2 linked regions of the Macaca fascicularis genome follow. The protein of the gene in region 2 purifies or fractionates together with the protein of the main gene of each other region. This does not show direct contact. Links are inferred from orthologs where the notes say so. Each region holds a gene or a part of one and is shown on either strand. Other genes may lie near its edges.

Region 1 (3,820 bases), on a different chromosome or scaffold from region 2:
GGCCCAGAATGCAGTTCGCCTTCACTATGGACTACCAGTTGTGGTTAAGCTCTTACACCCACCATCCCACTGGCCTCTGATAAAGGTAAATTGTCAAAGTAGAATTTACCTTTGTTGCAGAATTGAAAATGAAGCATCTCTAGCCGTTGGATGGCTAAGCATAGTGATCAATAAATAGGAATTGTATTCGTTAGTAAGTAGGAAGTATGGCTGCGATAGGGGTAGGATTCTGAAATGTTTGTGTAGTCAGAACTACTTTTAGTTGTTCCCAATAGATTTATTGTGGTGGGAATTTTAGGCTAAGAAAATGATTGTGTTGAGTTGTATGCCAATTCTTCCTTCTGTTTTTCAGGCTACTGTTGGATTGATTCGAAATCTTGCCCTTTGTCCAGCAAATCATGCACCTTTGCGTGAGCAGGGTGCCATTCCACGACTAGTTCAGTTGCTTGTTCGTGCACATCAGGATACCCAGCGCCGTACGTCCATGGGTGGGACACAGCAGCAATTTGTGGTGGGTAAATTCTTATAGTGATACCTGGCTGTCTAAAAGGAATGCATAGATCCAAAGATCTGAACTTCTTTGGTCATTTGTTCTCCCCGTCCCTTTTCCTGAAGAGCTGATGACAAAATATGACTGCAGAGAAGATAAGGCATAGTGTGGCCCCAGTGATATTTCCTTGGACACGTCCTTCACATGGTCAGTCTTACAAAGGTTGGGTTAGGCATTTCATGTAGTGTTCTCATTTAATTTACACAAAGGCCCACTTAGGAAGAGGTAGAGTCATAATTTGAGACCAAATCTGTGTAATTTCAGAGCTTCTTACCCTTGCCTCATCATAAATTTTGACAATAAATATTTAGCAGTCCATTTTATTATCTTTTCTGTGAGTTAAACTTTTTTCATGGACCTAAGAATATAGTATAGACATACTTCAAAAATAAGTAGTAGCATTTCTGTACTCTTAACCACAATAGTCTCAACCTGAAGCTTTGATACAAAGTTTGAGTCTTAAAAGTAGCTTCATTAAAAGTATAGTCTGAAGATACTTCTGATTTCTCAGACTTTAAGACCTTATTTAATTAGGTTAGTTTAGAAAACAAAGATGGAGCCTACCAGAACAGATTTTAGGAATCTCATTTTGCTGGTTGCTTTGTGTATGTACTCATACTGGGGCTTTGGCTTGCTTCATTTATTACTGTTGGTATTGGCCCATCTCCATGAGGTGACTTAATAGAATGTTGAGGGAATCTTTTATTTTAAATCTCTTTTCTAGGAAAAAAGGAGTTTTTGTATCCTTGCAAGAATCAAATTATTTATAAAAGCTGCTAAATGTAGCAGAATCATAACCCCTTTTAAAACTCAAATCCAGAAACAGGAGAAACAGATGGTACTTAAATATTGCAAAAGCTAACTTCTCCTATACATGAGACTGTCAGCTGAATAGTCTTGGAAGAGTGAGGAGTGGATTTTTCTGCTGGCAACTCAGTTAGTTTTAGCAGTTGGTGCTAAAACTTGGCAAAGTTTTCACCAAATACATGGAAGATGTACAAAAATAGAGGGGGCATGTAAAGGAAAAACGTTGACATAGTCTGAGCATTACTTTCTCATCTTCTCTTTTTATATACCTTTTACTCAGAATGATTGGTGCCCTTACTGTAGGAAAGTTGTCTTCGGGATTCAGTGCTATGTGGAAGCTCTGTTGCACTGTGTATGGGGAAGGGGTGCTGCCTTGAATTAGTGCTGCCAGGAGGCCTCTTTTCAGTGACATTCAAGTTAATGGAATCCTCCTTCATTCCCAAACGAATTGCAAGTTATGGGGAACTTCGGGTATATAATGTAAATAATTATAGTCTAATAATTATTCCTCAGAATGCAAAGCCTTTCAAGTTCAGAAACTTTACAGAGGAGAATGCCCTATTTGTTAACCATGTTTCTTTTGGCAGGAGGGGGTCCGCATGGAAGAAATAGTTGAAGGTTGTACTGGAGCCCTTCACATCCTAGCTCGGGATGTTCACAACCGAATTGTAATCAGAGGACTAAATACCATTCCATTGTTTGTGCAGGTATGTTGTTTTTAAGTGTTCTAGGTTTTATGTCCCTAAAATTTCCAGATTGTAATGACTAATAAAATTTCAGAAAATTAGGGACCATAATAGGGGCACCAATATTTAATTTTATGAAAATTCCCTTCAGTTTTTTGGTCAGTAGGAGAAATATTGAGACTCGAGAAGAGGGAGGAGATTTCACATTTCACTTTTACGGGTGCCTAGTTTTAGAGGGGAGAGCTGACCTGGGCTGCCAGAGGCGGGACATAGGCCCCCAACCAATTCTGGATTTTCCAAATCTTAGGTCAGTTAGAGTTGCCTCTGAAGAAAGGGTTTATAGCTAAAAAGTATTCTGGAAATCCAATGCTCTAGGGTATTAAACACCCTAGGACATAAAATTCAGAGAATATTATTTACTACAGTGTGAATGCCTCTTGCACTCTGAATTCGGAATGTTTGCACCACAGTGGGGGGCTTGTCATGTTTTAGCTTTAGATTTAATTAGGTTTTGTTTGTGTTTTCTCCCTAGCTGCTTTATTCTCCCATTGAAAACATCCAAAGAGTAGCTGCAGGGGTCCTCTGTGAACTTGCTCAGGACAAGGAAGCTGCAGAAGCGATTGAAGCTGAGGGAGCCACAGCTCCTCTGACAGAGTTACTTCACTCTAGGAATGAAGGTGTGGGTAAGTAAAAAGGAACCAAAGCCTTTAGCAGATGTGTACATTGAAGTCTCAGTTTTTCCTCAAGGGCCTTTTTTTCCTTGTCTCTTAGCGACGTATGCAGCTGCTGTTTTGTTCCGAATGTCTGAGGACAAGCCACAAGATTACAAGAAACGGCTTTCAGTTGAGCTGACCAGCTCTCTCTTCAGAACGGAGCCAATGGCTTGGAATGAGGTAGGGAAATGTGAGCAGTTATTTATCTGGTAGTTTCCTAGAGTGGATAAGGCAGCTTGTTCTTCTCTCAAAACACTTAGTATACATTCATTTGCATTGATGTTTCCCTGGCTTGAGTATTTCTTCTTTATGCTGTCCAGCAACTGCCCTAAGGAAGAACTATAACACAAACTTTAAAGCGCCTGTTCAGAATCATTACAAATAAGTTGTGCTATTTAAAATTATAATTCATAAGGGAGAAAGATGAAAAATGTTACCAGATTAAAGATGATTTTTCAAAAGGATGTAAGGAAAGAGGCAGTGTTAAACACTGTTAGAGGACAGTTTGTCAGTAGTTTTTACTAAACTTTAATAAAACTTTTCTATTTGACTTTCTGCTATGAATTTGTCTTCAGTATTTGTCCTCAGTACAGGTGTCCTTTGAAACATTGTTTCTAATAAAACTAGAACCACCCTGGAAGTTTATTTTATCCACTCTGTAGTGATCACTGATGGTACACAGTCATAACAGTGGATTATATTTGTTGAGCGAATGGAAAGAGAGATTATTAGGTTTAAAACGATGCAGCTCTTGAGGCCAGGAGTTCAAGATCAGCCTGGGCAACATAGTGAAACCCCATCTCTACAAAAAAATTTAAAAATTAGCTGGGCATGGGGATGGATGCCTATAGTCCTAGCTACTGGGGAGGCTGGGACAGGAGGATTGCTTGAACCCAGGAGTTAACAGACTGCACTCAGCAACAGAGCCAGACTCCAACTCAAAAAAAAATAAATAAATAAAGGAGAGCAAATTACCAGTGAGTGGTGTGTTACTTGGGTTTTTAATAGGCATCTTATTAACATGTTCCAACTTGAGCCCTTAACTTTCTCCACCTACCCCCTTC
Region 2 (3,820 bases):
CTTTTAACTGATTTTTTCTTTAATTACCATATAATTTGTCTTATTAGTAAATATTTGATACCGAATCATAATGACCAGTAGATCTTTTGAGTGCTGTCCTTGTGGCAAGAACTGTTGTAAGTGCTTTGTACCTAATTTTTTAACCCTTTCAACAACACTGCGTGGCAGATTCTGTTTTTCCCTCATTTTACAGATGGGGAAACTGAGGTACAGAACTATTAGGTAACTTATCCAAGAGTAACCCAACTGATAAGCATCAGAGCCAGGATTTGGGCCCAGCCATTAGGCACTAGACTTTCTGCTTAATCAAGACAGATAAAGATTGACCTGATAATATTAGTAAATGGAGTATTTTTGATTGGGGACCCTACTTTATCACTTCTACTCAGATTAAAGAAAGATTGACTTTACTAAGTCTCAAGATACCGATGTAAAAGCATATTGCACCCGGACACAGTGGCTCATGCCTGTAATCCTAGCACTTGAGGAGACCGAGGTAGGCAGATCACCTGAGGTCAGGAGTTCGAAACAAACCTGACCAGCATGGTGAAACCACATCTCTACTAAAAATACAAAAATTAGTTGGGTGTGGTGGCAGGTGCCTGTAATCCCAGCTACTTGGGAGGCTGAGGCGTGAGAATCACTTGAACCCGGGAGGTGGAGGTTGCAGTGAGCCAAGATTGCATCACTGTACTCCAGCCTGGGCAACAGAGCAAGATTCTGTCTCAAGGAAAAAATATATATATATTGCAGTTTAAAGTTGGCATTTCCATGTATTTTTGCACACAGATAATTGTATAACTCTAATGAACTCGTTATGTGATTCTATCCTTTGCCAGTTAGTCCACTCGATTATTTGAGTTCCACTTTTATATATCGTTCATCCAGTTTTTAAATGCGGGTGCAGCATTTGCCATCTGCAGGCTCTGTGTGAGGTATTTTACATGTATGACCCCTGTAATCTTTCTGATAATCATGTGGGAAAACAGGCTTTATGAGATCAGGCAGCTTGTCCTTAGTAAGAAGAGGGGAAAGGGTTTGACACTTGGTCTTGCTACAGAGATTTTTAATATTTCACCAAGAGGAATGGAAGAGGCATGCATCTAAATAAAGAAACTGGTAAGAGGAGCTTTCTGGAGATGCTAGTAGAACATCTGGGTAGAAATGTTGAACAGGTCTTTGGAAGTGACTGTCAATCAGGAGAGAAAATATACTGAATCTGAAGGTTAAATATCTACGAGTGGTAAACAAAGTTTACAGAGAAAATGAGCCTCCAGGGAAAGAACAGAGAAAGGACAGAAGTGTTAGGATAGAATTGTTTGCAATTCTGGTTCTAGAAGTTAAACTAGCAGGAAAAAGAAGAGAGAAATAAAACCATGAAGAGTGCTTCATAAGCGAAAGCAAGGGAGAAGAGTCTGTCAAGAAAAAGGACATGATCAGAAGTGGAAAATGAGTTAACGAAATCAAGGAGATGAGATATGAGAAAAAGTCCTTGGAGCTTGGCGATTTACAGTTCTTGGTCTTCTTGGAGAGACCCATTTAAGTGGAGAAGTGGGTTTGGAAGTTGGCATATATCTCTGAAGTTTGGCAAGAGTAGAAGGAGCCCATGTTGTCTGTATTGGAGACAATATGTTGGGATTTTTTTTTTCCTTTTAAGGTTAAGGGGGACCTTAACATTTTTGTAAATGGAAGTGAAAGATTCCAAGAAAAGGCAGGAATGGAGGGGTAACTGAAGGAGCAAAGATGGGTTATGATAGCATCCTCTTGGGAGGGATTGGTGTCAGCAGTGGGGGTGCAGCCTCAGGGAGCAGACAGCCACTTCAGCAAACACCTTATGTGTGCTCTGGTTTTTTGAACATCCTGAATTTTTTTTTGTTTATTTGTTTATTTATTTATGAGACAGAGTCTCACTCTGTTGCCCAGGCTAGAGGGCAGTGGTGTGACGTCGGCTCACGGCAACCTTCGTCTCCCGGGTTCAAGTCAGTCTCGTGCTTCAGCCTTCTGAGTAGCTGGGATTACAGGAATACATCACTACACCCAGCTAATTTTTGTATTTTTAGTAGAGACAGGGTTTCACCATGTTGGCCAGACTGGTCACGAACTCCTGACCTCACGTGATCCGCCCATCTTGGCCTCCCAAAGTGCTGGGATTACAGGTGTGAGCCACCACACCCGGCCGATTTTTATGATTTCTTTCTGTTTATTTTTATTATATATACTTGGATCTGATGACTATAATAGTGATGCCGGTTGAGGTCAGTTTAGTGGTAAAAACTTTAGGCTCTGGGGTTTGACCGACATAGGATTAAATTTAGGCTGTAGGCCAGGTGTGGCGGCTCATGGTTGTAATCTCAGCACTTCAGGAGGCCGAGGTGGGTGGATCACTTGAGGTCAGGAGTTTAAGAGCAGCCTGGCCAACACAGTGAAACCCTGTCTCTACTTAAAATACAAAAAAATTAGCCAAGCGTGGTGGTGCATATCTGTAATCCCAGCTACTCTGGGGACTGAGGAAGGAGAATCACTTAAAACCGGGAGGCGGAGGTTGCAGTGAGCCGAGATCAGACCATTGCACTCCAGCCTAGATAACAGAGTGAGACTCCATCTCAAAAAAAAAAAAAAAAAAAAAAAAGGCTGCACCACCTAGCTGTTGTATAAACTTAGAAAAGTTATTTAAATTCTTGAGGCCGCATTATCTTATAGAATTAATGTAGAGCTTAAATATGACAATATATAAGTAGGATACTTACTCAGTGCCTACCAAATACTTGGGTCTACAATTAATGTTAACTATTTACTGTTATTAAATGAGACTTCATGTATAGCAAAATGGAGCCCTGGAAGTGATGTATTATTTGCTGTGTTTCCTCAGGTTTCATTTAGTGGAGAAATTGGGTATGACCTTGTAGGAGTTAAGAGAGAGTTCTTCTACTGTCTGTTTGAAGAGATGATCCAGCCAGAATATGGGATGTTCATGTATCCTGAAGGGGCTTCCTGCATGTGGTTTCCTGTCAGGGTAAGTTCCCTTTTCTTCGCTTACGAAACATAGAAAATTAGTTTGTCTAGACTGTTTCGTGTTAGGTGAGGAGTTGTGGATATAATTGTGGAGATAATCTATAATTCTAATAAGGTGATTATTTTTTTAAAATGGAGTTTCCTTTTCCTGGGTTCCCATATCTGTCCACATAGAACTCAAGCAATGTGTTTTTTTGATCATTTATATAATGCATGTATTAAAAAGGAACCCTTTTTTTTTTAGGTAGTCATTCTTTGTGTCAGTTCTGTTTTCCCAGTGAATTTGAAGACAAAGGCTGTGGAAAGAAATTGTGAAAACTAGTTTATAAGGATTACTGAACCTAATGTATTTTTATTGCTGGTATGCTTTTAGGAACCAAAACTGTGGCAGAGATTTATTTAGTTGTTTGTTTCTTTTGTTTTGCTTTGTTTTTGAGACAATCTCACTCTGTCACCCAGGCTGGAGTACAGTGCCATGATCTTAGCTCACTGCAACCTCCACCTCCCAGGCTCAATCCATTCCCGCCTCAGCCCAGCGGGATTACAGTAACTGGGATTACAGGCTCCCACCACCATACCTGGGTAGTTTTTGTGTTTTTTAGTAGAGACAGGGTTTCACCAATTTGGCCAGGCTGGTCTGAAACTCTTGACCTCAGGTTGTCTGCCCACCTTGACCTCCCAAAGGGCTGGGATTACAAGCATGAGAGTGGCAGGGATTTAAATTGACTCAATGACCAAATATTAGGTTGGTGCAAAAGTAATTGCAGGTTTTGCCTTTACTTTTAATGGCAAAAACTGCAATTACTTT

What was found.
Region 1: the proteins of HERC5 (region 2) and CTNNB1 purify together in Homo sapiens (affinity purification with western blotting; 3 studies listed by BioGRID). This does not show direct contact. The link is inferred for Macaca fascicularis from reciprocal best matches to the Homo sapiens genes HERC5 and CTNNB1.

The regions. Positions count from the first base shown.
Region 1 is NC_088376.1:104,080,087-104,083,906, forward strand, and holds part of CTNNB1 (catenin beta-1), read left to right. Parts: coding exon 1-85; intron 86-352; coding exon 353-511; intron 512-1,944; coding exon 1,945-2,064; intron 2,065-2,575; coding exon 2,576-2,726; intron 2,727-2,814; coding exon 2,815-2,936; intron 2,937-3,820. UniProt on the Homo sapiens protein: Key downstream component of the canonical Wnt signaling pathway.
Region 2 is NC_088379.1:94,039,886-94,043,705, forward strand, and holds part of HERC5 (E3 ISG15--protein ligase HERC5), read left to right. Parts: intron 1-2,869; coding exon 2,870-3,013; intron 3,014-3,820.